4 linked regions of the Saccharomyces cerevisiae S288C genome follow. The gene in region 4 interacts genetically with the main gene of each other region. Each region holds a gene or a part of one and is shown on either strand. Other genes may lie near its edges. The genes, in order: YPR096C, ECM33, YJR142W and YLL054C.

Evidence for each region.
Region 1: mutations in YLL054C (region 4) and YPR096C together harm fitness more than expected from each alone (negative genetic interaction), as found in Saccharomyces cerevisiae (2 studies listed by BioGRID).
Region 2: mutations in YLL054C (region 4) and ECM33 together harm fitness more than expected from each alone (negative genetic interaction), as found in Saccharomyces cerevisiae (2 studies listed by BioGRID).
Region 3: mutations in YLL054C (region 4) and YJR142W together harm fitness more than expected from each alone (negative genetic interaction), as found in Saccharomyces cerevisiae (2 studies listed by BioGRID).

What each region holds. Positions count from the first base shown.
Region 1 is NC_001148.4:722,608-730,277, reverse strand, and holds YPR096C (uncharacterized protein), read left to right. Parts: upstream 1-5,133; coding exon 5,134-5,436; downstream 5,437-7,670. Other genes in the region: mitochondrial 54S ribosomal protein mL43 MRPL51, read right to left, coding at 65-487; YPR099C (uncharacterized protein), read left to right, coding at 165-521; TMH18 (Tmh18p), read left to right, coding at 750-796, 893-1,331; LEC1 (Lec1p), read right to left, coding at 1,663-4,884; Arf family guanine nucleotide exchange factor SYT1, read left to right, coding at 5,561-7,670.
Region 2 is NC_001134.8:389,162-398,052, forward strand, and holds ECM33 (Ecm33p), read left to right. Parts: upstream 1-3,961; coding exon 3,962-4,019; intron 4,020-4,349; coding exon 4,350-5,581; downstream 5,582-8,891. Other genes in the region: PFF1 (Pff1p), read left to right, coding at 1-55; ECM8 (Ecm8p), read left to right, coding at 1,066-2,130; SLM4 (Slm4p), read right to left, coding at 2,644-3,132; RPG1 (translation initiation factor eIF3 core subunit a), read right to left, coding at 6,222-8,891. UniProt on the Saccharomyces cerevisiae protein: Required for proper cell wall integrity and for the correct assembly of the mannoprotein outer layer of the cell wall. Important for apical bud growth.
Region 3 is NC_001142.9:695,202-698,838, forward strand, and holds YJR142W (uncharacterized protein), read left to right. Parts: upstream 1-1,939; coding exon 1,940-2,968; downstream 2,969-3,637. Other genes in the region: HIR3 (Hir3p), read right to left, coding at 1-495; IPA1 (putative polyadenylation protein), read left to right, coding at 705-1,748; PMT4 (dolichyl-phosphate-mannose-protein mannosyltransferase), read right to left, coding at 3,125-3,637.
Region 4 is NC_001144.5:29,921-39,734, reverse strand, and holds YLL054C (uncharacterized protein), read left to right. Parts: upstream 1-4,530; coding exon 4,531-7,062; downstream 7,063-9,814. Other genes in the region: FRE6 (putative ferric-chelate reductase), read left to right, coding at 264-2,402; AQY2 (Aqy2p), read left to right, coding at 3,374-3,823; YLL053C (uncharacterized protein), read left to right, coding at 3,774-4,232; YCT1 (Yct1p), read right to left, coding at 8,031-9,626. UniProt on the Saccharomyces cerevisiae protein: Required for growth on non-fermentable carbon sources.

The sequences.
Region 1 (7,670 bases), on a different chromosome or scaffold from region 4:
CCCAAATTATATATACAAGTATAATTATCTCTCTCTATTTCTAGAATTTTCTTATATACTAAAGCTAAATTCTATGCCTTTTCGCAGCATGCAGAGGCGACCATATACCCCTCACACTACTGTTCAAGCTTTCCACGTTATCATTCTTTGTTCTTCTGCGTAAAATGTCTCCATCAGAATCCTTCAATAGCTTTAGCTTGTTTTCTACATTGTCAATGTTCAAGTTTCTCACACAAATAACTTTTTCACGCCCATTTGTGTATTCTGCCCTCAACAAAGGATGTCCAGACTTCCTCATCACTTCAAACTGTATCCATGGGAACTCCTGGCCCCATTTATCTAATCTCTTTGAAGTCAAAAATTTCCTCATGCCTTCCGAAGACCCTCCCCAGTTACAGAATTGCAAAGTAATCTTTCTGCATGGAAACACGAATGCTCCAACTCCATTACGACCTATGGAATTTCGTGCAATAGCTTTCACAACCATTTCTCCATATATTCGTGTCTGTGTATCTACTTAGTCATGGTTTATGATAATCGTATTGATTGATCTTTTTTATCTCAGGGCTTATGATTTGTTGTAATTCTTATGAGCATCCCTCATCCGAAAAAGACGGAAAGCACCGTAACGTATAGTGCGATAAACTTACAGAAAAGAATAGTATTATTTAAGGGAGTTAAATGGAGTTGTTTGATGATATAGGCAGATCAAACTACGCTTTACAGTCCAGTAAACTTAACAACGAAAAATGTGTTTAGTCAAAACTACGGCTCATTTGCTTTTTTATTCCTTTGTGTATGTACAGATTAAGACACAAGAAAAAATTTGAACAATTATGATTAATTGAGAATAACTGACTAACAACTTTTATGTACCAACTTAATCTTTCAGATTTGGAGGAACGACGTTTTATTCCTATGTAGCTTCTCCAATCGCATTCAAAGTTCTTGAAAAAGACCAATTTTCTGCTTTGCAAAATAAGATCTTCCCGTATTTTTTCCAAATGCAAGCGGCATCACCTGTCATCCTGGCCCTTACCGCTCCAATTGCCTTGACAACAGGACCATTATCTTCTTTGGTGGTTGCATCTGTCAGTGGGCTAACCAATTTGTTTTGGTTGTTGCCCTGGACCCATAAAGTTAAAGAACAAAGAAAGAATATTGCGAAGAAATACACGGGTAGTGAATTGGAAGCAAAGGATGCTATATTACGTAAAGAATTTGGCAAGTCGCACGGATTGAGTCTTTTGTTCAATCTTTCTAATGTTTGCGGGATGCTTGCGTACGGTGTTTGTTTGTCAGGTGGTTTGTTAAGAAAAATTCCAAAATAATTATTTTACAAGTAAATATATATATGCAAGATCATTTTTTCGTCATTCCTTTGCCAAGGTGGAGATGAAGTTCGCAATCGGAATTTTTTGACCCTCAATTAAAGAATAAGGGACTCAGTTCTCTGCTATCCTGATCTTGGCTAAAAATAACTAAAAGGGGAATTGTGCTGTTTGTAGGATCTTAAAATAAAAGAGAACAATATTTATCTTGAAGTTTTTTCTATTTTTTTATTTCTACAAGCTTTTCTTATATATAGACCTAGCAATCCTATATTATTAAGCCGGAAAATCGTAACGAATAAAAACGAATAAAGGAGATACTAGAAAGGGCCTACTTTTTAGCAATTTGAGCTTCTAAATAATTTTTTAATTCCTGTGCGAAAACTTGAGATCTCAATTTATCAATTTCACTTTCATCAACAACAAGATTCAATAAATCTTTGTATTGCTTTTCTAATTCAACTTCATTCTCTTTATGTAAAAAATCGTAATCACCTGTATCGAGATCCAAATCCACCAAATCACCATCTCCAAGTCCAAAAGATCCAGAGCTGGATGGCATAACCAAGGAGTTTATGTCACTCCAATTCTTTTGAAGTATGCCAGCAGCGTGTTTGTTATTTTGTTTAGTACCTTGTTTAACCTTCAAATCTAACAACTTCTTATAGATTTTTCTCGCACCAATCTTTTTATTAAGAACATTATTAACTTGAACTTTCAAAAGTTTGACATCAATATCGATATCATCTCTACAAATTAACTTATTGAAGTCGATCCTTTCACTCGGTCCTCCGAATTTACTCTTTTGCAAAAATTTCACTATCGTAGTAATCCAAGTAATAAAACCTTCAAAAATGCCCTCTGAATCGTTCAAATATACATCATGAATAAACTCAAAAAAGGCATCTTGATGTTTGGTTACTAAGTTATGGATTTCTTCCACGACATCGAACTGTGTGGAAACGCCCAACTGACCATTGATAACATCATCAACAAGCCTGATCAAATCACTCATGAACTTCTCAAAATTTTTCAAAGCAACATCCATCCTTGCAACTTTGAAGATCTTGACCATAGGTTCGTAAATCATAGTGACAATTGCCTTTAGCATTTGGGTTAACTCAGGATCTTGCCATAGCTGCCTCATTAGCTGTTTATCATGTTCTTTAATATACAATTGCCATAAATCTTTGACGTGTGTGAAATAAATACCTGACTGATCTTCGCTGGTTACATTCAAGGCATCCGTGTCTTCTTTTTGCAGTTTCCATGATGAATAGGATTCAATAAGTCCCGCGACAACCTCGTCTGGAATTAGATTTGCAGCTGCACTTTTCATTAATACTATCAATGGTACAGGCATGTTCATGGATTCGGATTCTGCATTTACTGCGTCCATAGTAAAGAGTTTAGTATCATGCTCATCCTTAGTATCATTATTAAAGACAAAATCCTTCAAGCATTTAGTCACAACTGAAGCGCCCGGGTCCATCTCAGCAATTTTCCTTTCTAATTCCTTTATAGCTACCTTTTGAGTTTTCAAATCATCTGTTAATATCGTAGAAAACATTGTTTGAAGGAGCGAATGACCACCGAAGGGTTGTGCCATAAATAATTCAATCATACCCCTCATGATCGCTATTGGATTAGTAAATTTCATGATCTGTCCCATTACTGTGTACGGCATAAGCTTATGTAACCGTCTTATTTGTGTATAGAGTTCATAACTGTTATCGTTACCCAGAAACATTTGATAAATCATTGAGGAAATATAAATCTTACACCATTCCACAAAGTCTTGTAAAAGTGGTGACAGGTCTTCAACTTTCGTATTGTCCTTGATTTCTACTAGTAGACTCATCAAGTATTTTTCATCTTTTAACAGGGATGTTTTGAAATCTTTCATTGAGTCTTGCAGCTTTAAAGACTTTTCTAACGCCATCTGTTGGAAACGTATTTGGTTCTCCAAATTACTTACATCTATCAGAGCCCTGTTTCTAATGTCATCTGCTATTTTCGGATTTATGTCCTTAATATCTAAATTAGGCCCACTTAGGAAGAAGCGACGAATAGATGAGCTTTGAGAAACCTCTGCATCTTTACACAAAGTCCTTAAATATTGTCTTAATGAAGTTCTCATTTTTTCACCCACCAAAGTATTGATTTTTGAATCGGATGCATCTTTATATTCATCAAAATCACTTTCTTCACCTTCACCTTCTTCCTCATACTCGTCCTCATCAATATTATCTTCTTCCTTGATCTCATTTAGAATATTTTTTCTCAACGTTTCAGTTTCTTTTTCTGTGAGTACTGTTTCTGTAGCAGATAATTCATTCGTTGTCTGTAAAAATGAAGAATTATCAGACTCTGATGCAGATTGTAAATCAGTGTCAAAAGTGTTGACGATTTTTTCCCTGGCTGCTGATTTAGTTTGCCCATTGTGTAACACTTCGGTTTTAGTTATCATAGACGTCACTTTTTTATTTCTATGAGGTAAGCGCGGACATTTCTTCCCCGGAAATTCTGATTTTAAATCATGAGATAGTTTTTTGAAGTCGCTGTATGTTCTTGTCACATAGAAATAACCAGCATGGTGATCAAGATTACTATTCTCTTCATTGCTGTTATCTTGGTCGTCGTCATCTTGCTTCTTAATCTTAATCAAGAAATAATGATGTTTTCTAGATTGCTTGCTCTTAGTTGAAGGCACGCCAAGGGATAATTTCGAAAATAAAGATGCTGAGGATTCGGGCATACTATTTATGGTACTGTTAATAGTGTTGTTGAAGGCATTCTTCATCCATTTAGAAGTGGAAGCAAATGATTTTATAGCATGGCTTTTGGGACTCGAAGTTGGAGTAGATTTACTAGACTTGTCATTATCCACACTTTCAGTACATTTCCGTGAATTCTTATTGAACACGGATATAATATTGACGTCCCAACCGTTAATAAAAACGGATTCGTTAGTGAGCAAATTCTCTAAATTTTCTCTAGTTGGCATTGCAAATTTCTCAATATTAGAGCGTTTTCTCGCTTGGCCTGACTGTAAAACGAATTTATCCTCATTATAATACGCTTGCTCTTGAAAAGAGCCAACACCGGAGTTAAAGAGCAACAAGATAACCTTTGATAGCTTTTTGGAAACTTTCTTCCTTTTTGAAGCTTCCTCCCTGTCATAACTTTCACTAAACCCAAGACTCATGAAATGTTCAAAGAACACTTGAACCTTACTCTGCCAGAATTTTTCATCAACTAGCAAATTTGTTGAAAGTAAAGGAAATGTGGATATAAATTCTTGCAAAACATAACTCAGCATGGGATAATTAACGCTAAAATGGCCTTTGCCACCGAGCACTGGTGATGAATCGTTATTGGAGATAGGCTGTGGAGCTGTCGGATCGTTTGGTGAGAAAGGATAACCGAACTTTCTCAAAGCAAACTGATCGTTAAGCTTTCCAATTTCATAATCCAATTGACATCGAAGCAGTTCCCTCTTCAGGTAGTGTTCTTCCGTTGGATTTAAAGCAGGAGTGTCTTGAGTAATCATTTGAAGACTGTCTATTTTTGATTCTTTAGTACAATTATCTTCAACCACTGATTTCAGTACACAATTCCGACCACAAGGTAAGGTTCGTTTTTCTTTTTTTATAGAGCCCAATGCACAGTAATTGGATGTAGCTCTTAAAAAAGAATGAAAGCTAGAAAGTGATCAATTATTCGAAAAACACTTTAATACGTTCCTTGTTCACGCCTAAAAAGTTAACTGTCAAATGGTTAACGTACATTTATCTGTCTTATGAGAGGCGAAACAGGCGTAAGCATTAAAAACCCAAGGCCATCTCGTCCTTTTTCTTGTTTTTGGCGTAAAGGAGATGTTGAAAATATTAGGAAAAGTGATATAGGGAACGAAAAGAAAATAGACGCTAAGTTCAACAGGCTTCAGTATAATCTATATTACAAGCCTCTCTCGCACCACAAGGCCGGTTTATTGTACAAAGAACTCTTCTTCAGAAGCTGCTTCTCTTATACTACCTGCTCATTAGACTTTCAGGGTAAAAGGCACCAAGTGGAAAGAAAGGCAGTAGATATAGTACTTTGAATTCTTTTGACATCGCAAGGTTACTCGCATCCACTCCCTATTATTTACTCTGTTTCAACTCATTGTAACTTCATTTTCGCTAACTTCCCGCCAGACCAGCTCTTCAATCCACACTTGCCAGATAATGAATCAGTCTATTTCTTCGTTGATTAAGCTTAAATTCCTTCAATCACACAGTAACGATAAAAATGGCAACAAAAAGGGCGGAAGCAATGTTTCAACAGGCATAGATAAATTAAGAGAGTCGGAAAGTTATAGAAGTCCTTTTCTTCAACTCGCAGAAATACAGGAACACACTAATAATGACGACGATAAACTTGATGTAAAAGAATGCGAGCCCACAAAAAAACACAGCAAACTAAGCAGGATACGGCGTAAGATGGGTAGGTTAGACTTGAATTTCAGGTCAGCCAATGAAAAGGGTTCTGAAGATGATGAAATCTTGGTTGCACAACACCTCCGTAATGGACAAGATCCTGAAGAAATGCCTTTCAAATCAGAAAACAACATAGATTCGATAGAGAAAGTTCCCAAGCCCGATGGTGAGAGAGTCACGCTTACTAGCTCCGGGTCTGATAACGTAAAGAGAAATTCAAAACACGCCCCATTCATTCCTGTGAAACCTGCTCTAGAAAAATTTCCTTCTTCTAATAGATTGTCAAGAGATTACAGAAAATCACAAGAGCCTACCCTGTTTAACGGTGATAGATTAGTTCCTACTCTTCCTACTGTGAGTAGGATATCGACATCTTCTTCCGTCGGTTCCTCTACAGCGGCTTCAAGATATTTCAATCCGTCCAAAAGAGCTGTTGTTGCATCATCATCATCATCGTCGTCGTCAATAAAATTCAATTCGCTGCACGCAATACCACTTGATGCAACTCCTCAAATTGAATTGGCAAAACAACAAGATGAGATCTCCAAAAGGAGGTTCGGAAGAAGGCGCAGTAGAACTGTTGACGTATTTGACTATATTAACAAAAACAATACAGCAAAGAACAAACCGCCACTCTCTCCATCTTCTTTTATTAGGACTATTGACGAGAAAAATACAAATTCTCTTATGCAAGACCCCATGGGATCCCGCGGACCTCTTTTGCCCGATGATGCCAATATTATAAGCAATGATACAGATGGAGCGGAAGCAAGTCACCCAGACCATCAGGTTTTATCAAGGTCTCGATCTCAAAGTACGTCTTTTGTTCAAGGCAAGGGCGGCAAGAGAAAATCAATTGAAGATGAAGGCTACCATAACAAATTGGGCCTACCTCATGGATCAGGCCCTACTTCAGTTTACAACAATAAAAGCAATGCCAATTCAACTATTACTGGAATGTCAAGAAGAAGTAGCTCAATTGTGAATGCTTTAAGTAGTTTTGTTAACCTTCGCTCCTCCAGTTTATCATCCTCTAGGCAACAGCACCTTCAACAACAACAGCAGCTACAACAAAAACTGGATGTCTCGCTGGAAGATCTACCACCGGTTCCCGCGCCTGAATTTAGTGATTCTTGTAAGGACTTCTTGATTAAATTAGCGCCCTACGGAAAGTTCATTGGGATCATTTTAACGGAAAAAGATGATGAGTTCAAAAAAAATTGTTTAAACTACCTATTAACGAATTGCTTCGAATTTAAAAATGACCCTTTAGATATTGCCCTGAGGAAATTGTTGATGTTTTTAGAGCTTCCAAAGGAGACGCAGCAAATTGATAGATTGATAATGGCTTTTAGCTTTGCATACTATAAGGCCCAAAAGAGCTATTCTAAGAAAAAAGGAATTGAGTGCCCCTGGTCTAATGCAGACCAGGTGTATTTTATTGCATTTTCCTTACTAATGTTGCACACTGATTACTTTAACCCCAACAATAAAAGCAAAATGACAAAGCATGATTTCGTGGATTTAGTCCATAATGACAAATACTCAGGAGGTAATGAGATCCCTATGGCCGTTTTGACATATTTTTATGAGAATGTGACAGCCAAAGAGTCGCCGAAATTTAATTACTTTTTGATGTCACCAATGGCGTTGGACGATAGCATCCTTGATAAAGATGCATTTGACACAAATTTTGCTATCACATTATCTTCGAATTCGATGTATTCTCCCATAGACATGATAAAAAGGGGGAGTATAATACCCAAGGAAGCTTCCCTTTCCCCAATCTTTTATCCGCTAACGAATTCAATTAGTGCATCTGGTATTGCCCCATCTACGGCGGCTTCTTGCCCACCAA
Region 2 (8,891 bases), on a different chromosome or scaffold from region 4:
CTTTACCAACGAACAGAAAGGATTAGTTATTGTCAAGGATGCTATAATTTTATAATTCTAATTAGTTTTAAATGTAAATTTTTATAAACTCAAATTCGCCTACTGGGGGAGTTGTCCAAAGGCTTCGCTTCTTCCCACAAGAAGAACAAAATAATAAAAAATATTTTGAGAAATTTTTCGTAACAAAAGGAAAAACTATTGAGTTTAACTTATGAATGTACTTTACTGGCCAAGAATCCGTCTGGAACCATTCTACGGTGCTCTCTTCGTAGCGCTAAAGACAGCTATAGTGGATATTCAGACGGTATTGAAAATCACTAATGATATCAGTTAACAAAGTAAGAAACATGTTTCGTCAGATAAGTTCTACACTGCTGCAAGTGCATACAATGCTCGTTTTTATAAAGTCCTAAATTATATAACCCTCCAGTAACTATTAGAAAATAGCACGCAATAATGCTAGCGATATACAAATAACCTGTAAATCTATATATTTATTAAGTATAAAGATAATGGTCTTGGAAATGGTTCTTCAGGGATTGTGATTGACTATAGCCGGATATCGTTTGGATCAAGAGCTTGGTTAAGCGGATATTTAAGTTATTTTAATATATCGCTTTGTCCAAAAGCAAGTTTTGGAGGTGGGATCTCAATTTACACGATACAGTATTAACCAAATCTTGATAGCAAAAAAATGCAAAATATCGTATAAGTGAAGGCAAAGCATTGTCCAATGTAAGGTTCTGTGCCGCCCTTCCCTTTTTTGAAAGCTGCTAGATATCATTGTTACCCTTTTTAATTTCTACGCTATTCTCGGACGTCATAATTTTATAGTTACTGACACTAAAAAAAGGGTCGTACGTCTTACTGGCAGCGCCGAAAAATGTTTCGAAAATACACCTTAACACATTGAAGTAGTGATGATTTCATAAAAAACCACAAGAATTTGTTCGCTAATACATTAATTCGGTACTAGACTTTATTGACTCGTATATTTCTAACGAATAAATCACCCACTCTTGCTATCCTAACAGTATTTAATATTAGCTATTTAAAAGCCTTAAGATGGACTATGGCTACTTTTTTCCCGCACAACGTATTGAAGAAACAAATGGTGTGGATTTTTGGATAGACAGTAATGCTGAATTTACACAGTCTAAAAGACCTGACTCTTCAACATCCACTCTTTCGAGGGTTTTAACGGACACCACGAATGTATCCAATAATAGTGGATCACTCAAAAGAAAAACCATCAAGAACAAAATATTCCCACAAAGGAAAATATTCAACGATAGCGAAAATTTTGACTTTGGTAAAGCCAACACTGATTGTAAGCATGTGTTTAAAAGTATTTCTAAGCAACTGATTTTTCTTCCAAGGTGTTTCCAACATCACAGTATCCGAGGCTGGATGAAAGACAGATACTCCGAATTTGGTTATAAAATAAAAAGAAATCAAAATTGTCCCCCCTCAGCATGTGTACAGGCACTATACAATACTAGTAGATCCAATACCGAAGAGTCAAACCCCAACAGTCTGGATTCTCTGATAATGTATAAATACATGCGATACTCTGAAAAGAAAAAGGAATTGATGTGCAGATTTTGCCAGGGGAATAATTGGATTCTAGCTGAAAACTACCTAAAACATTTATTCTTTGCGCACGGCATTTTGTCTGAATTTAAGCCTCACACTTTATACCATTTCGAGTCTAAGCTGTTAAAAATCCAGGGAAAACTTAATTTCAAAATTCAAGTATTAAAAGAGCCAGAGTTTAGCAAAAAAATTTTGAACTCTCTTACTGTATCCATCATTCCCTCTCCTTTGGCCTACTACACTCAAACGTTGAACGGGGGATTTAGGAGAATCCATGTGAAATGCCCCCACTGCGAAAATTGGATCCGTTTGGGTTGGTGTGAATACGATGAAATCATTAGGGATTCCTTTCAGGATTTCGAGTCTCTAAGAAACCTCAATGCTGATTATAATGGGATGTCGTATATTCAAACACGCAATAGAGAAGACATTGAAGGTATATACGAGAATTATTTTACACACTACATCCAATGCGACTTAGCCACGTTCCGAACGAAATGTTTATATGTCCAAGTTATAACAAAAAGCAATTGATTGTGTACGCAAGATATTAAAAATAAATGATCATATAACAAATCAAACAAAATTTGCCGCTAGTAACGAACTAAACGATTACGAGACGGCTGATAAATACTAATATTCACCATCCTAGCGAAGAAACGCTTTAAATTTATAACGGTTACCATCCAAAATAATGAACATAAGCAGATCTGGCACCGTAGCAGCTCATTGGGGAAAAAAAAGCTGTCATGTAGGGCCCTCTGAGCATAATAAAAAAAGAAGATGCTTCCGTTCAATAACAGCGATAGGTAGATGGGGGAAAAAAAGGAGAGGAAGATGAGGCCCTTATGTACGTGCATATATATGTGCGAGTGCACGAAAGTGCACCACGGCAATCCGCGTAATCAAGCTTATGTAAATGGCGTGTCTGCGTAAACTCTGTCCCTGCGAAAATGTGTTTATTTATAGACTGTTCGCATTGTTTTTTCCAGCCCCCATCCGGAGACGCATGAAAAGGTGTGGCCTCGATACATATTGTTAAACCCATCAACCTAGCTTGTAGCCAAACAAATCAGTCAACTCTCTCATAGCTCTTTCAATTTTAATTACCAGTAGTCCGTAAGGGAAGCTACCTTCCGCAATGAACAATAGCAAAAGGTCGCTATTGGGTATCTGTGCGACACAGGTATGTAAATCTTCCATTTCGTAAGTATATATTTTTGTCTTAAAGGAGTCGATTTCCACAGGGTAACAGCTATTGGAGTGCTGTTCCTCAGTATCGTTTTCATCCTCTGACCACTTATCCTTAATCAATAAGCTCATCATTTTCAAGTTATTGACCGAGTTTATTTCGTTTATGGAATTTTTCGGTACATCGTTGTTTGACGTCGCATAGGACAGTATACCCCCATTAGTGGCGGTTATAATCATAGACGATTGCAAAGACGATGTCTTGAAGTCTACCGAATGCAAATCATACGGTTTCAAAGTGTTTTCCAGAAACCCTTTAACGTTTTTAGAATGGAGCATCACCATATTGCTTCAATATTTTGGATACCGTTTGCTGCTGATAACTGCCTTTTTTTTTTCTTCTTATCTTCCCTTAATTAATTCATTAGAGTCTTTTTAGCTTATATGCCAAATGAAGCAATTGTTTTTCTTTTTCTTCGTCTCTCTCTCCATATTCACCTGTTACCCAGAGGGCACCATTCATATCATTATCAACGTAAAATCTGCGAATTACCGTAAACCGCAAAAAAAAAAGGATGGCGGGCAGTATCATCCTTCACGACCCGGGTGGCTGCTGCGCCCTCGCGAAAAAGAAATGAAATGGAGTGCAAAAACGGGAAAGACGCGCCACCGTTTCTGGCCCACGCGCTCATTCTCAGTGGCCAGGCACTAGAGACAGGACTGAAACCGCGTTACCACAACAAACAAAGGCAACGTGCAGTAAACAACCATCCCTCCTGGGATCGAAATCAAAAGTACAAACCTCAGATCGAACTGAAAAATTTTCGGTAGCGTGCTTGAGCCGGTATAAATATTCAATGTCAAACACCTACGACTTTTCGCAATCAACGGACCTCTCTTGCATTTTTGTATTTAATATGTGAAGATCTTTCCTCTGCATTTTCTTTCCTTCTTTATCTTTCTTGGCTTTTCACCCTTTCTCTTCTTTTTAGAACATCATCTTTGAGTACTTCGGCCACTTTTAGAAAAGAAATTAAATAAAAGAGTTAATCGTTCATTCGCTTCTACACAGTTTAATCTTTTCCATTTTTCTTTCAACAAGTCCCTTTGAGCTATCAAGAATACGTTTATTTGACTTTTAAAGATCTAGTTTTAATTTTACTATTATTCCGCAATGCAATTCAAGAACGCTTTGACTGCTACTGCTATTCTAAGTGCCTCCGCTCTAGCTGGTATGTACACATTCTCCTTTTTTTTCATCTTTTTTTCTTTATTTGCCTCTTTCCTCACAAATCTCGAGTAGATTCGTGGTCCTCTTCATTCTTTTCTTTTTTCTTTGTCGATTACTGGGCTTTTTTTCATAGGTCTCGATTGACGCGGACGGACAATGCGAAAAAAAAAAATTTCCAAAAGAGGAAACGGGTTTCGAGATCTCGTGAGGATGGTTTTGGAATATTCTTCAATATTTCTGCCTGTCATAGGATTAGGGCGAGTAATGAAACAGAATAATACATGTATAAATCGATCGGGAATACTAACACTACTTTTCTTTATCTAAGCAGCTAACTCAACTACTTCTATTCCATCTTCATGTAGTATTGGTACTTCTGCCACTGCTACTGCTCAAGCTGATTTGGACAAAATCTCCGGTTGTAGTACCATTGTTGGTAACTTGACCATCACCGGTGACTTGGGTTCCGCTGCTTTGGCTAGTATCCAAGAGATTGATGGTTCCTTGACTATCTTCAACTCCAGTTCTTTATCTTCTTTCTCCGCTGACTCTATCAAGAAAATCACCGGTGATTTGAACATGCAAGAATTGATCATTTTGACCAGTGCTTCTTTCGGTTCTTTGCAAGAAGTAGACTCCATTAACATGGTGACTTTGCCTGCCATTTCTACCTTCTCCACCGATTTACAAAATGCTAACAACATTATTGTTTCTGACACCACTTTGGAAAGTGTCGAAGGTTTCTCCACTTTGAAGAAGGTTAATGTTTTTAACATCAACAACAACAGATATCTAAACTCTTTCCAATCTTCCTTGGAAAGTGTCTCTGACTCTTTACAATTCTCTTCCAACGGTGACAACACTACTTTGGCCTTCGACAATTTGGTCTGGGCTAACAACATCACTTTGAGAGATGTTAACTCTATTTCTTTCGGTAGTTTGCAAACTGTTAACGCTTCCTTAGGTTTCATTAACAACACTTTGCCAAGTTTGAACTTGACCCAATTGAGCAAGGTTGGTCAATCTTTGTCTATCGTCTCCAACGATGAATTATCCAAGGCCGCTTTCAGTAACTTGACTACTGTTGGTGGTGGTTTCATCATTGCTAACAACACACAATTGAAGGTCATTGACGGTTTTAACAAGGTTCAAACTGTTGGTGGTGCCATTGAAGTTACTGGTAACTTCTCAACCTTGGACTTATCTTCTTTGAAGTCTGTTAGAGGTGGTGCTAACTTCGACTCTTCTTCCAGTAACTTCTCCTGTAACGCTTTGAAGAAGTTGCAAAGTAACGGTGCTATTCAAGGTGACTCTTTTGTTTGCAAGAACGGTGCCACATCTACCTCCGTTAAGCTATCCTCTACTTCTACTGAATCATCCAAGAGCTCTGCTACATCTTCCGCTTCTTCTAGTGGTGATGCCTCCAATGCTCAAGCTAACGTTTCAGCTTCCGCTAGCTCTTCTTCCTCTTCTTCTAAGAAGTCTAAGGGTGCTGCTCCAGAACTTGTTCCAGCCACTTCATTCATGGGTGTCGTTGCTGCTGTTGGCGTTGCCTTACTATAAGATTAAAGCAACAATTTGTGTTTCTATTATTACTTTAATTTCTTCTCTAATGATTTCTTTACCATTCCTTTTTTATTATGAGACGGTTGGTTCATCACTGAATTTTATATGTAGATAAAATTTTAGTGTCGTTAATATCTCTTTTATTTCTTATTGTTACTATATTATTACTGTTTTGAAGTTCCAGTTTCATCAACTTTTGCTACCTTAATTAAAAGAACCACTCAGACTTTTTACCATCCTTTAGCTTTACCTAATATAATGAAATTTGTCTAAGTAACATAAAAAAAAGGAGTAAAGAAAAAAAAAAAATAAGTAAATGAAATAAAATATAAAAAAATTCTTACTACGGTTTAAAACAAAGTGCTCTTCCGCTAACGTTTCAAGTTTCTAAAGAATCGTTAGGGCCTTTTAACGGATCGCTTTTTTAAAACAGTAAAACGTTATTTATAGTTATTTATACCAACTATTTCTCGAAATTCGTTTTTAAAATAACTGCCATCTTTACTGCTCTTCTGCTCCTTCCTTTGACATGAAAAAGCAATCAGAAAGAAATAGTCTAATAAATTGTTATTATGTACACATACTCTTATACGTATAAAAAACGGTATAAATTAAGTAGATCATTTTGCGTTGTCTGTTACCTGCCCCCCTTGGCCAATCTCTTGGCTCTCAACTTTTCAGCCATAGTCATTTTCTTTGGACCAGAAGATGGAGTTGGGGTTGCTGGGGTTGCTGGAGTAGCTGGAGTAGCTGGGGAGGACCCACCAGCTGTTCTACCGGCTAGTCTCTGTTCGATGGCTTCTTCCATTTCTCTTTGTTTTTGAGCGATCATATCCAATTTAGCTTTATCTGGAGAAACGGTCGCCTTTGGTAGAGTGCTTGGTGTACTTGGAGGTTCCCTGTTTCCTGCGCGGAAAGAGTATGGAGTTGATTTCTTGGCAGCAGCTTCTTCGATTTCTCTTTGTTTACGGGTAGCCTCAGCGAGTTCTTGAGCACGCTTCTGTCTTTCAGCATTTGCAATTTCTTCCTTACGCCTTGCAATGGCTTCCTCGTAACGACGCTTACGAACTTCTTCAATTCTGGCCTTTTTGGCAGCTTCCAATTCAGCCTTCTTTTGGTTGCGGATGGCAGCTAATTCGCTTTCCTTAGTGCCCGAAACATGCTCCTTGAACTTCAAATAATCATCATAGACCATGACCAAGTTCTTACGATCAGCCATTCTGGCTTCGTATTCGGCCTTGGCGGCGTCGACAATTTTTTTCTTCATAGCTTCATAATTTGCTGTGTCTGTTTCTTGTAGCTTGTCAACTTCTTTTTGCAGCAATGGCAATTCGACCTTTCTCAAAGCTCTTTCCGTATGATCTAACTTCTTCATAGCATATTCCATACGACTTTCCAATTCACTCTTGTTCTTTGATACCTCAGCTATAATAACCTGTTTAATGGTGTCAAGATCTAAGCTTTTAGCTTCGTTAGGGTCAATGTAAACATGTCCCTTAGCATTCACCTCAGTAATCATCTTTGTGATTTCTCTTTCTTTGATAGCTTCAAATTCACGTTTCTTCTTTTCAATTAAGCGACGGTGAGCCTCTTCTTCCAATTTAGCTTCAATAGCAGCTTTTTCTTCCAAAATACGCTGTTGTCTGACCTCAGCATCCTGTTCAGCATGTAGGGCAGCATGTTCCATATGTTTTTGCTTTTGCTCTTGAGATCTCTTGACACGTTCGTCAACAATCTTGGAAATCTTTTCAAGGTCATCCTTGTTCTTCTTAATTAAAGTTTCACGGGCAATTCTAACCTTTTCCATGTATGAAGCATTGTTGAAACTGTCAACATCGTGTAGGACATTGGATAATTCAAGCAACTTGTTGTGGATGTAAGAATTGCGGATAATAACAGGATCAGATTCTTCTTCCTTTTCTTCACCGTCTTCAGTTTCTTGTGGCCCAAGAGCTTCGTCAGTTTCCTCCTTTTCTTCTTGGACTTCTGGCTCTGTGTTTTCTTCTTCAGAGACTTCTTTAGAAGCAGTTGATGCGAAAATGTCAAATGGATCTTTAGCGAATGTAACCTTAGCAGATTCATGATCGATGGTAATTGAAACATAATCTTCCACAGCAGCTTGTAACAGCGATTTTTCGATGTCCCAAGCAGATAAGTCTAACGGAGCAGGTAGGGTAGCGAGCTTGTATAATTCGGACTGGGAGACAGTAGTGAATTTTTGAGAGGCAGCAACAAAAACCCTTCTCATAATGACGTCTCTTAAAGGTGCGATGTATTGGCTGAAGTAGGTTTTAGAAGACAATTTGACTAATAAATTTTCCAGCTGTTGTTTCACTGTGTCGACATCAAAGTTAACTTCAATGATATCGTACAATTCTTTCAATTCCTCGTCAACTTTACCATAAATGGATTCGTCTTCAATAATGGATTGCAACATTTCCTTTCTAGTTGGCTTGGCGTCCAAGTTTAATAAACGGTACATACGTAAATGAGGATCGTAGCCAATAGATGGAATTTCGTCTAGTTGGGTAGAAATAGCGGATAGGAAAATTGTAGAAGAATATGTTTTGAATTCTTCTTCCGTGGCTCTTGGATTGGTAGAATATAACTTATAAAACTTCTTCCAGGCAGTAGTGTGCAACAATGGATCACCGGAAACAAAGAAGACCTTTACGAGATTCTCGTAGTAATTAGCCAAAGTAGATGGTTTAGGAGCACGTTTGGATATTTTCATTAAGTGGAAAACATCCTCAATGGATCTATAAGCCTCGTGCCACAATTCCAACTTGACAGAAACATCGACTTGTTGGAAACGTTGATCTAAATAACGTTGCAAGGTATCAGCATCGCTCAAGTCAACTAAATTGTTTCCTGATTTACTTTGTTGGTAGTTAGCAGCATCTAAATGTTGACGTAACATTTCAGCTAATCTCTTGAATTCGTTTTTACGCTGATACTTCAAACAGAAATGCATAGTTTTTTTAACGACACCAGAATAAGTAATTTCCAACAAAGCGTTGTTTCTCAATAAATCTAAGACTGCACGATATGATTCCCAAGTAAATCTTAACCATGAAGTAATGGCTTCATCATTGAAACCAGCCACAGATTGATCTGACTCGTAAACAGAAATCAGCAAATTTTCTGGGGTAACACCACCTTCCAAATCATCATCGATTTCTTGCTTTTGAAGTTCGTCAGCTCTAGTTTGTTCAGAAGCGATTTTAGATTCGACTAAATCAATGAATTTACGTGCAACGGCACCGACAGAAACCAAACCTTCGGTAGATCCTTGAATTAATTTTTT
Region 3 (3,637 bases), on a different chromosome or scaffold from region 4:
AAGTGAAAGATTTTCCTGCTTAGTGAATTCATATTCTGATATTAAACGTTCCAACTTGACACTATTAAAGCTCTTGAAGATGCGAGCCAGCAAATCTGTAACTGCAAAATCAGCATCGCTATGTTGAATAGACTCAACCAAGTTCTCAACTGCTTTTAAAATACAATTAACTAGTTCTTGTGAGTTCAACCTTTCATAGTTATTCTCCAAATACAGATGATAGTACATCCCTCTGTTCCTATAACATAGATATCGCAGGTTATCTAGCGTAGGAGAAGAATTGCGATACATGCCCCACCTATCAGGCTTGACGACATCAATCTGGAAGAGCTCTTGGAATTTGCTGTCCGACTTTTCGAAGTCCTTGTTTTTTAGATCAATCAGAGCGTCCTGCAAAATATTAAAACTCTGTTCTATTTGAAGCTCTCTTGAATGCTCCTCTGCTTCATATTGTTCACCTTCGATGTTTGAATTGAGGGCATTGAACATAGACATAATAAGCTTTATCTAGAATCTGTGTTGAGGTTCTAACTCCTTAAAGTGCCTTTACGGACCTGCCTTGCTACCGTCTATTTGTATTTCTGCTCTTCCCAACGTAAACAATTCAATAAATAATTTCGCGATGGCACATAGTAACAAGCTGTTAAATCGAAGTAAAGAAAAGGAAAGTCAAGAAAACAAAGAGAGAAACAAATGCAAGGGTGATGGTTCAATATGTGGTAGAATGGTTACCAAGGATACAGAGCATTTCAGTGGTAGTAGAAGGTTGGAAGCAGGTGGAGATAAAGAACTTGAAGGACACACTCATGAGCATATCTGGTGATGAAGAACAAGTTGAAGATATTTTACTTCCAGTAGAAGTTGAAGAAAAAGTAGACGCTTCTTACAAGTTCAAAAACAGAGGTAAAGACTTAGAATGGATGACGAAGTTAAGAAGCAAATCCTCTAAGATATATGACAGTTCTATCATGTCGCTTCCAGATGGAAGATGGACTAAAGAAGAGCTTCGCTCAGATTCTGATTTCTCGATAGAATGTCTTAACTGTAAGCAAAAAATTATAAGCAAAGATAACTGTCAAGTTTTGAATGATATGCCTTCAGAGTTTTGGTTCGAGTTAATGGATTATTGGCATTGCCACAAACCCGATGTTAAGGAAGACAAGTCTTCCTACACAAGATTTGAAACGCTAAAACCATCTAAAAACGAAATTTTAATTGGAAGCTCTTATTTTCAAGGCACTCCTGCGACTTTTGAAAATGTAGCGACTACAAAGGAAAATGATAATGTTTTATGCATAAAGTGCTCAGCAGTGTTAGGCCAAGTAACTGCTGGTTCGCTTTATAAACTACACAAATGGAAACTGCAGTTAATACGCAGTGGAAACACATACAAATTTCCTCCAGAATGTGACATTACAATTTCTTTAATAAACGTAGTTAAGGCAAACTCTTGTCGTTACGTACTAGTAAAATGTAAAACGGAATCATTGCTAGTTTGGATATTTTCCGTTGACATTGGAGTCACATTGACGGGAAACAAAAGCTTCAAGAGAGCGATGAAGTTGCTTTACACAAACAGCGTTACCACAATAAATCGATGTCTCAATCGACAAGTCGTCGAGGAATTAGATTTCCAAGAAACATCGTTTAATGCTTTTTACAGCGCCCTTCAACATACTAATGCACTTTTACCCTCAAGCATGAAAAAAATTGGTGAATGGACCATTAGCTATACATCACTAATCTAATTTTAAGAACCATTCTCTTTCAAATTTGTACAAATATTGTCATCAAGTAATAAATAGCTTCTTTTTTTTTTTAACATACAGTTGTAGAATTAACTTCGTTGGCCGAAGAATTGCACAACAATAGCGTTTGTTATATTACTAAATATAGGGGCTTTCTTGGGAACGAAAGTGAAACAAACGCTTTTAATACAATGAAGGTCGAGAAATCATCTAAAGGCTTGGAAGTTTTAGTGAGGACACAGGAGGATGATCTAGAGGGGTTCTCTTTCCTGGAGATTATGGACCGCGTAGACCCTTTACCATTAGACTTCGAGAATTACAAAAATTTCAAAGAGGGCATTTACTATATGTGTACACACGATGGCACAAAGATCGGTTTCGTGTTGAAATTTGCGATAAATGAAATGGAGACTGTTTGCTCGGAAATCTTCGAAGAAACCTTCCAATTAGATGAATCTAGACATGAGTTAAGGTTTAAAAGTGAAGATTTTGATCATAGAAACAATCTAATTGACCAATTGGCTCGTAAAATGTATTTAGAATCATCCTTGAGTGGTGTGAAGGGCTGGAGAAACGAGAAATATGCCGTTTGGGTTAATAAAAAACCCTATGTACTGGTTGAGCGTGCAGTAGCAGGTGTTCTTGGTATAATTACCTACGGGATTCATATTAATGGTTATGTGCTAGATCCAAAGTCAAAAAAAGTTCAGTTTTGGGTTCCAAGAAGATCTAAAACGAAACAAACATGGCCGCTAATGCTTGACAACATTATCGCCGGGGGATTAGGTTATCCTTATGGTATCTATGAAACAGTTTTGAAAGAAAGCATGGAGGAAGCCAATCTAGAAAAGAGTGTTATTGAGGATAACATTAAAGCAACTGGTTCAGTTTCCTACCTTTACTTTACGGGTGATATTTCTGTAACGAAGTTCAATAAGGAATCAGATTTTATCGTAGGGGAAGTACAATATGTATACGATCTAAAACTCAGCGAAGACATCATTCCAAAACCAAACGATGGTGAAGTCGAGAGTTTCAATTTATTCAGCCTGCAAGAGACGATTAATGCTTTAAGAAAAAAAGAGTTCAAACCAAATTGTGCATTGGTAATGGTAGATTTCTTGATTAGACATGGCTACATCACTCCAGAAAATGAGCCCAATTATCTTGAACTAGTAACTAGAATGCACAGAAGGTTACCATTCCCCACCTTGAATTAACATTCAAGAGGTTACCGGTTGATATCTAAACAAATATAAAGAATTTTTTTCATATATACACATCTAGGTACATACTATCTAAGATCAAAAGTACTCTATTTTGTCACTAAACGGAGGAAGGCGTTCAGTTCGTTTGTGGTTAGTGAACAGAAAAAGTTACTTGGAGAAATTTAATTCTATGTCAAACCACTCTCTAGAAACAACTTCCGATGGTGACAAGCTGACATCTCCATACACTAGTGGTGAAAAGTATACAAAAAACCACGCAACAGCACAGGAGACACACACCAAGAAGACGGTATAGGGTTTAACGTAGACCTTAGGGTTCCGTTCATATGATGCACCTGAAATATCCTCGTCTTTCTCCAAATCCAATGATTTGCAATCACTGAAAATTACTTCCCATAGTGCTCCTGAGAATAAGCACGCGATTAAATGAGCTGGTAAGTAATGATGCAAAAACTTTTGACGCGCCATTAAAAAGAATGGAAAATAATGACAGCACCAGGAGACGAAGAAAAACATCAATGGGCCATACAGCTTTTCTCTGGTCATCTTGTTTAGGGCATAATAGCCACGATGTCTAGTAATTAAATCGGCCACGATAATGCCAACAAAAACAGCCAATGATATGACTTGGAACCACCACCCAATGATGTTACCAATGAA
Region 4 (9,814 bases):
CATATATATACAGAATACATGTATAGAATTATTATAATTATAATTTTCTCTTCGCAACTCTATCTAAAACACAATACTTAGATTTAAGGTCCCGTACACCCCGGCTAGTGGGCATTGTTTTTGCACCCATATTTGTAATTCTAAATTCAGAACGGAAATACTGGCCATGTAGATCAAGAAAAGATACAAGGTCATCGAACCAGGCAGCAATGATTTTTCTATAATCTTCTAAAGTGAAGCATGACGACCATAGCTCGTTGAATATGCATAGAACGCTTCTGTTTTTAACGTGGCTGATATCTTTAACAAAGGCTTTTAATATAAAATTACCACACACTGAAAAAAAAGACCATTTGGAATCCAACGCTGTGCTGGCATGCGCATCCTATATAAATACTCTGAAGTGGTCATTTGATAGCTCCGTCGTACCGGGTTTCTATTCTACCATATGCTCTTATTCACCAGCGTTTGATACTTGGTCACTTTGTATCTTCAATTCGCTTACAGACCAGATTATTCCCATGGACAACACAAGTTTCGAAGAAAGCTTGGGTAACGTACGAAAAACGTGCTCGTTTGTCGATAAAAAGTTTAGCAATATTTCACTGGAGCAATACTACTCATCTTTAAATAATGCTTCTTCTCACGCTTTGGAAGACTATGGTTCTATTGAAAGTTTATCGACATCCATTCGAGTCGATCGTGAGACAAGATCTAGATGGATACGAGCTTTTCATGCGCATGCCTATAATTTAGATATCAGCAGTGTTTATGGTGCATATTTAACTTACTACTTCGTCATAGTGGGTATTATCGCCGTCTTCTTCCATATGAGTCACTATAACGGCCTGAATCGAGCGCTATTTGCAAGCCGGTTCGTCAATTATATTCGGGGCCATTTTGTGTTGCCTACGTTTTTAGTAGATAAGCACGCTAATCACTTCAAGTTTCTAAACGTGGAAGTCTTTACGGGACTGATGCCGAATTCCTTGGAGGCATGGATCATTTTTGGATACACATTGGCGAACATCATATTTTTGTCCATAAGTTACATCATAGACCCATATAACCTCATTTTCAACAGTCACCTGTCGCAGTTTACAAGACTGTTGGCTGATAGATCTGGGATACTGGCGTTTACTCAGTTCCCTCTCATTATCATTTTTACGGCAAGGAATAGTTTTCTCGAATTTTTAACAGGAGTCAAGTTCAATTCCTTTATTAGTTTCCATAAATGGATCGGTAGAATCATGGTCTTAAACGCAACGATACATTCGCTTTCTTATTCATTATTCGCAATTATCAACCATGCCTTCAAAATAAGCAACAAACAGCTCTATTGGAAGTTTGGTATTGCATCCATAACAGTGCTTTGCGTTCTACTAGTTCTATCGCTCGGAATAGTAAGGAAAAGACATTACGAATTTTTCCTGTACACCCACATCATACTAGCCCTTTTGTTCTTTTACTGTTGTTGGCAACACGTCAAAATTTTCAACGGTTGGAAAGAATGGATAGTGGTATCCTTGCTCATTTGGGGGCTGGAAAAGCTTTTCAGAATATGGAACATTTTGCAGTTTAGATTTCCGAAAGCAACACTAATCAATTTGAACACCAGCAACAACCCGCACGATGAAATGTTTAAAGTAATCATACCCAAATATAACCGGAGATGGCATTCGAAACCGGGTCAATATTGTTTCATTTATTTTTTACATCCATTGGTATTTTGGCAATGCCATCCATTTACCATTATCGACGAAGGTGAGAAGTGTGTTTTAGTGATCAAACCTAAAAGTGGTCTCACTAGATTCATTTATAACCATATTTTGCAATCTTTAAATGGTAAATTACAACTCCGAGTGGCCATTGAGGGACCTTATGGGCCCAGTAATCTTCACCTCGATAAATTCGACCATTTGCTGTTACTAAGTGGAGGAACAGGCTTGCCTGGTCCATTAGATCATGCCATTAAGCTGTCACGAAACCCTGATAAACCCAAGAGTATAGATTTGATCATGGCGATCAAAAATCCTTCTTTTCTTAACGGCTATAAATCCGAGATACTAGAGCTAAAAAATAGCCGATCCCACGTCAACGTGCAGGTTTACCTTACACAGAAAACAGCTGTTACAAAGGCAGCAAACGCACGAGACCAATTAATACATTTTGATGATATAATGACCGAACTGACAAGCTTCGCCCACATCGGCAATGCAAGACCTAATTTTAGCAATGTAATTGAAAACGCAATAAAAAGTACGCCGCCTGGAGATTCATTAGCGGTCGTGTGCTGCGGCCCTCCTGTTCTGGTGGACGATGTTAGAAACACCGTTTCTCAAAAACTCCTCGGTTACCCAGAGAGAATTATAGAGTATTTCGAGGAATATCAGTGTTGGTAAATCTTCTCTCCGGCTCCTTCTGATCCTACGCCCACCTATATCTACATATATCTACGGCACTAAAAACTTTTATGTACCGCATAAAAGGTGCTCTTTAGCAACTATTTTTAGTTAATTATTTGCGTTTTAGCTTTCAGGAATTTGCTTGCTAAGACGATGTCTAATAAATCCGGTACTTCTTTACTTGCAATTAATTACTAAGCGGCGCCTGAATTTTTCCGGCTTGATGCCGAGCAAAAATTAACTCTAAATCCCTTTCTGGGAACGAGTCTTTGAAGTTCTACGGTCTTTTGTCTCAGGAAAATATGTCCCGAGAAAGATGGAATAAGTATGGATTTTGTCCTTAACCAGTGGAGGTGGCGCTGCAGTCCTTCTTTTCAGACCCAAGCAAACAGACCAAAGGACATTTTTTTGGAAAATGTTAAGAATCAACCCTCCGAAATCTTTTCACGGCTCAAATTACTGCGGCCTTTTTCTGCTTCTTAAAAATGGGAGCATGATTATTTAATTAGCATTGCATCTGCGTGCACCGTAACTACTACAGTACTTTTACTGCCGCTGAGACGACAGCACGATCTGTTTTAACGTCGTAGGTGTATTTTTTTTTTTCCCGCTAAAAGAGCACCGCCATAATAATGACTTACCTCCTCCAATCCTTCTAGATGTTTTTCTTTAAACTCCTACAGTGAATTAGATTATTGCAAGTGCAAATTAAAAAAAAACCTAAAAAAAAAAAAGAAGGAAATAGTTTTTGTCCATACCGGACTATGGCTTTCATTAACGAATTAGAGCGCCGCTGTTATCCTTTTATTAACTTTTTATCGTGAATCATATCTGCCCCTCTCTCGGTTGATAGTATAAATATGTTGGTTTTAGTAGCTTATTAGTGTGCGCATGTCTTTTTTCTTGTTCCTGGCTATTACAATTCCTGAAAATATTCAAAAGCGACACTAGCCTACCTTAGTTATACTATGTCTAACGAATCTAACGACCTTGAAAAAAACATTTCGCACTTGGACCCGACCGGTGTTGACAATGCTTATATTCCACCTGAACAGCCGGAAACGAAGCATTCGCGTTTTAATATTGACAGAGATACCTTAAGAAACCACTTTATCGCTGCTGTGGGTGAGTTTTGCGGTACCTTCATGTTTTTATGGTGTGCTTACGTCATTTGTAATGTCGCTAACCATGATGTGGCTTTGACAACCGAGCCTGAGGGCTCTCATCCAGGTCAATTGATCATGATTGCCCTTGGTTTCGGTTTCTCTGTGATGTTTTCTATCTGGTGTTTCTGGTGGGGCTTTGAACCCAGCCGTTTCTCTCTCTTTGTGTTTGGCCAGAGCCATCTCACCAGCCAGATGTGTAGTGATGTGGTTTCCTCAGATCATTGCTGGGATGGCTGCTGGTGGTGCCGCTAGTGCTATGACTCCAGGCAAGGTTCTCTTTACTAATGCTTTGGGTTTAGGCTGTTCCAGATCTAGGGGGTTGTTTTTGGAAATGTTTGGTACTGCTGTGTTGTGTTTAACAGTTTTGATGACTGCTGTTGAAAAACGTGAAACTAACTTTATGGCTGCGCTTCCAATTGGTATTTCTTTATTCATGGCTCACATGGCTTTGACCGGTTACACTGGTACCGGTGTCAACCCTGCAAGATCTCTGGGTGCCGCCGTTGCTGCCAGATATTTCCCTCATTACCACTGGATCTACTGGATTAGCCCACTTTTGGGTGCCTTCTTAGCCTGGTCAGTGTGGCAATTATTACAAATCCTTGATTACACTACATACGTTAATGCCGAAAAGGCGGCAGGTCAAAAGAAGGAAGACTGAGAGTAGTCTGCTCAGAATTTTATCTTTTTTGGCATAACGCTCCCATCGTAGTTTAATTTAATTTAATTTAATTTAATATAATAATATCTTATTTTTCATATTTACTGTCCTTTATTTTTTTTTTGTTTTTATCTCTTCTGGTCAGAGTTCTGTTTTTACGTAAGCGGCAGAAGTATGCATTCTTCACATTTTTTCCTCCTAAAGGCAACATTGAGGCCAAACTTTGGAAACAAAGATGATGTGAAGTAATTATTTACCCATCAGAAATCTATGACAAGATAAGTGTACTGCACTGGATATGAGCATTGCATCTCAGAAAAAGGTTAAGCCATCGTTTGTTTGCTTGCGGTGTAAGCAAAGGAAAATCAAATGTGATAAACTTTGGCCTACTTGCTCCAAATGCAAGGCCTCATCCTCGATTTGTAGCTACGAAGTGGAACCAGGACGGATTAACAAATCTCCCACTATCGAAAATGCCCCACATAGAGACATTAGAAACATTACTCCTGCATCGATGTCCGCAAGTGGTTCCTTTACTTCCATACTTAATCCAAGTACTAAAGACTGGGAAATGAAAAATTTTGCCATGAATTTATCGAATGCACACGACAAGCTTGTTGTAATGAATAACACAACCATCGTTGATAGTCCTTTTGCCTTCCATAGCATTCTTCAACATGATTTGTATGCGAAGGCCTTGACCACCTGCATACATGAGAGGATACTGATTGATGTCGAACGCCATCGTGAAAACGTTTCTGCCAACAATAAAAAAAGAGAACTTAACTTAACAATCGGTGATATTGGACCTTTGTTTTTTATTGATAAAGCTGCACTTAAATTTATTGAAAATACCTCAAAAACAAGCAAATTGTATCCTCCAATAGATTTTCTGTATAACACGTATGATTATGAACAAGCGCATCCTGAAGAAAATAATGATAAAATTTCCATAAACATCCTTTTGGAAGAGTTATCCAAATATTTCCTCAATAAGAATGAGGTTGATGGCTTAATCGTGGACTTTTACAAAACAATATATCCGGTCTATCCGTTACTGGAAATATCATTATTCGAAGATAACATAAGGGAGCTGTTGCAATTGAATGAATTTAATGGGTATAACATTGTATTTGCGGGCAAAGACTCTAGAAGAAAACTGGAGACAATAACACTGCTAACTATCATATTGGCTTTTTCTTACAGACGTTTGAGTCTAAGTACTAGTCATTCATTTAAAGAATCTTTTGGTGTAAAATCGAATAATTTAACGCTACTCGCTCATAAACTTCTTGCTCTCATGAACGTTTTTCAATATGTTAATGAACATACACTTTGTTGTCTGCTCTATTTTTTCATATTGCGGTATTTGAATCCAGATCAAGCTGACATGTATCCTACTCACAGTGACATACTAAACCTAAAATTTTTGGAGAATGTAGCAATAAAGCTAGGACTGAATGAAGAACCCTTCCAATACACTCGATACGTCAGCGAATCGGACGATTATCCAAGATTATTCAATTTAAGAAGGAAATTATGGCTTGGCGTGCAATTTTTGAAGTTTGGAATATTGATTCCAGAAGGAGATTCTGACATTCTAAGTTTGGAATATTTAAGATCCTTTATGAAAACTGACGAATCTCTACCAGAACTATTTGAGAGAAATTACGCTTCTACTAATAATCTAGACTTATCGTTGATGGCTACAGCAGAGAATATCTATCATTTACATTTATCTTTACAGGTATTACTGACTTCTTGTTTTCCAATAAATGGCCCTTCCTACTTGAAGGAAGTATTGGATAACATCGACAAGACAAAAGATTTTTTAAATCAGAAATTCCCTCTCATTTTAAGTTCTCTTGGAGAACCAAGGATGAAGAGCTTACATATCAATGTTCCCTCTTCCTTAGCAAATGAAGAATCTTTTGACTTTAGCACTTTTGAGGAAAATGAAACATTCATAGCTAATGTGATTAGCTACACTTGTACAATGAACATCTATGATAGCTTATCTTTGCATTTTGAAAATCAATGTTTCAAAAACGCTTTGGAGTACAAAACATATTATCACCGCTTTACTTTTACCGCTATACAAGATTATTTAACGTTGCTAAAATTAATCTCGGAATACTTTAATGGATCTCTTCTGCATTTACGGGAACCTTTTGGGTTTGCCACTCAGAAAGTTGTTCGCTTTTCGATACATCGATTACTCATATTCCAGGCCACCTTGCTCGTGAGATTATTTTATAAGAAGGATACATGCGACAGATCCTCTGCAGCCATGGGAATGTTGAATGATAGAAACGGAAGACTTAGTCGAGTCATTGAAAAAATGATCAAGTTGATGTCATATCATATGAAATTACTTGTAGAAATTGTTATCTCGAAACTGGAAAAGAGTTATCTCGGTTCGTTCATTTCTGTCTCTATTTTCAGGTATATCATTTATTTGGTGGATACTGACGCGCTGTCTGCGTTTATATCCGACTACTGGAAGAGTGACGCCGTTATGGATGAAAGATATTCAAGAATCCATAGGATTGTCGGTTTAAAATGGGGTATGGGAAGGGATAAGTCCTTTTCGTTCACATCAAAATTAAACAATCCACAATTCTTGGGAAGTCTTGATTTGGAGATTTTGGAAGAATTAGAAAAACTCATTTCCGCACAAGAATTTTCCAGAAACTTCACTGAAGATGTTGACGAATCTTTACAGAGTGAAATTGACCTCATGAATTATGACAATGAAGCCTTGAATCAACTAATGGCAATTGATCTTGATAAGCTACTTGGAATTTTCCCTAACCTGAGTAACTTTTGAGGGGAATACAAATTTGAAAGATACGAGGAGAAAGTTAGTAAACTAATGCTACTTTTAGTCTTCTATTTTTTTCGCAAGCACGATCATATAATCAATACCACACAAAGATTTTTGGTAGCTACGGTCCTAAGAAAATTAAATTCCCTCTCTAATCTGGGTGAGACCGGAATCGCATCAGGTCTTATTAATATGGGGTCAATTTGAAGAATTCAAACTATTTTTTAAACTGTTGTGACAATTCTTTAGCACAAAGAGTTCAATTTTGAAAATCTACCAATGTATATAATTTTTGCCGTTGTATTAGACAGGTTGTGCTCACTGTATATAGTCTCATTTAATAAATTTTTTTTTTTGAAGTGCAAATACCCTCAGTTGACATTCCAAGAACTATGGTTACCCACGAAAAACATCAATATGTTTTGAATTGTTATGTAAATTATCATTTACAAATTTTCTGGGCATATTGCATACCGAGGTATGTAATTTCAGCAAACTCGAGTGCTGCTTTCCATCCATACGGACAACTCAAGAACAAATGGGTACAATATAGTTGTCATTATTATGGCAAAAATATTGAGGGTTCAAAGGTTTTGCGTATTTTAACCACAGGCTAGAGGGGTTACTAGTCTCTGTCTTATAAAATGTTAGATTATAAAGTACAGAGAACAAATATCTACATGTTTTTTATGCTAAATTTGAAAGTTTAGGTGATTTATTTAAGAAAAACTAATCTTTAATGGACTTTTACCGGCTGTTTTGAAGAAATTGTCAAGAAATTCCTCTATAAATTTATTCAATTATCTATTATTTTCTAAGCAGTAAGCTATTTACCATTGTAAATGATTCTTTGGGAAATTGTGCCTTTCAAAGAGACACAGTTCCTCTTTCTTGCAGCCGGAAAGTTTAAAAAATTAATTTTCTAATTATTAAGTGTCAGATAGAACATTTACACAACAAAACATCAATATTTACAAAGGATATATAAAAGTTTCGTTTTCTAAATCAGTCAAATCAAAGACTGCCAAATTGTTCTCGTGGGTTACCACTTTCCCTTCTTCAATGGAAGAAGGATTTTCGCTTTCAATGAGTTGAATTCTGTCCAAATAATTTTGTAAATTTTCGTCATAATTTTTTAGTCTTTGATTATTCCTTCTTTTTAGTATGAAATGGATCAGTAACAAAATGGCTGGTGCAAGAGAGAATGATAAAACGATTTGAACAATCCAGGCAGGTAAAAAGCGAGGAGAGTCCTTCTCTCTCCATATTTGTGGTGATATGATATTAGCAATTCCCATCGCAAATAAGGACACCGAACTTCTTGTGAGTTTTTTGGTGTACCCAGATGCACTTGAACTTGCCCAGCTAAGAGCTATAATAAAAGGAATACCAAATATTTGTCCTGCCATACAGATATTTGCTAAGATACCAATCTTATTGTCCCATGGTAAAGCAGCTGCAGCGATGGATCCCACCAATGCTGGTAAAGTCCAAAAGATGGCTGTTAAAGCTGAAATATTTTTCCATTTTGCTAACATCAACGTAGCGATGAAGGCACAAACGACGGCGAAACCAGCACCGGCAACTGATACCAATGTCGAACCTAGAGCATCAACTCCACCCATTCCTTCAAATAGCAGGTTCTGTTGATAGGGCAGATTGTTGGCTAACTGTTGAAGAAGAAAAAACAATCCAAATAACCAGGTTATATAATCTTTCATTGCCTCTCTGAATTGACTCTTTTTGAAGACTTTTTGTTCAATGGAAGAGCCTGTGGATGCCTGAACTCTCCTGATAATCCATACCCTTTCTTGTATTGAAAAGAATTTCACATCAGCAGGATTATTAGGAAACCACAGAATTACAACAACCGTCATGATAAAAGTCAAACCACCAATGATGATAGTGAATATTTTCCATAACGAAATGCTGGGATTTGTTATATGAAGAACACCATAAGCAATAAACCCAGTTGGAATTGGAGACCCCATACATGCTGCAAAGAAAAATGGCTGAGCAGCAGCTCTTTCTGAAGCATCGAAGAACATACCCATAGTGGTAATTAATATCGGGATAACAACACTCTCTGTTAGCCCCAAGAAAAATCTCAACGCAACGACACCGGAAAAGTTGTATGCGGTACAACTTAGGAAAATAAGTATAGTCCATGTGGCCAACAACCCACCCAAGAATTTCCCAAGTGGTAACTTTTGAGCCAAGTATTGTCCAGGAAATTGGCCGATTGCAAAACCAACGTAAAACAGCGTATTTACAGTATTGTAAGTATTTTGGGTAAGACCTGTATCTTCAAAGAAGCCTAGAATCGAATCATAGGATAAAGTGGCTTTGTCCATGTAAAGTAAAAGGTTAATGGCAGAGACAAAGGTGAATATTGTGAGAAAAAGCTTTCTCTTTAATTTTTTTTCTTGTTCAGGCGTGATTTCTGGAACTGCTGCGTCATTCTCCTCCATGAATGCTAGCGTAACATCAGCGAGTCTCGAAGGAACTAGGATTTCATCAGAAGAGGAGATCGAGTCTGCTCCAATTTTTACGTCAACTTTTGACATTTCTTTTTTGTTATATTTTCTTTTTTATTTTCTCTTGATGTTTTGTTCAACCTTCAAGAAGTGCAACCTGAATAGCTAAATGTCGAATCAATCGTCTGTTTAAGTACTTTGATTTTTCCGACCTCTTCAATTCAACAGGTACGCATTTTTAACAATACCTATTCATCTTGACGTCCAGTTCCTAGGGA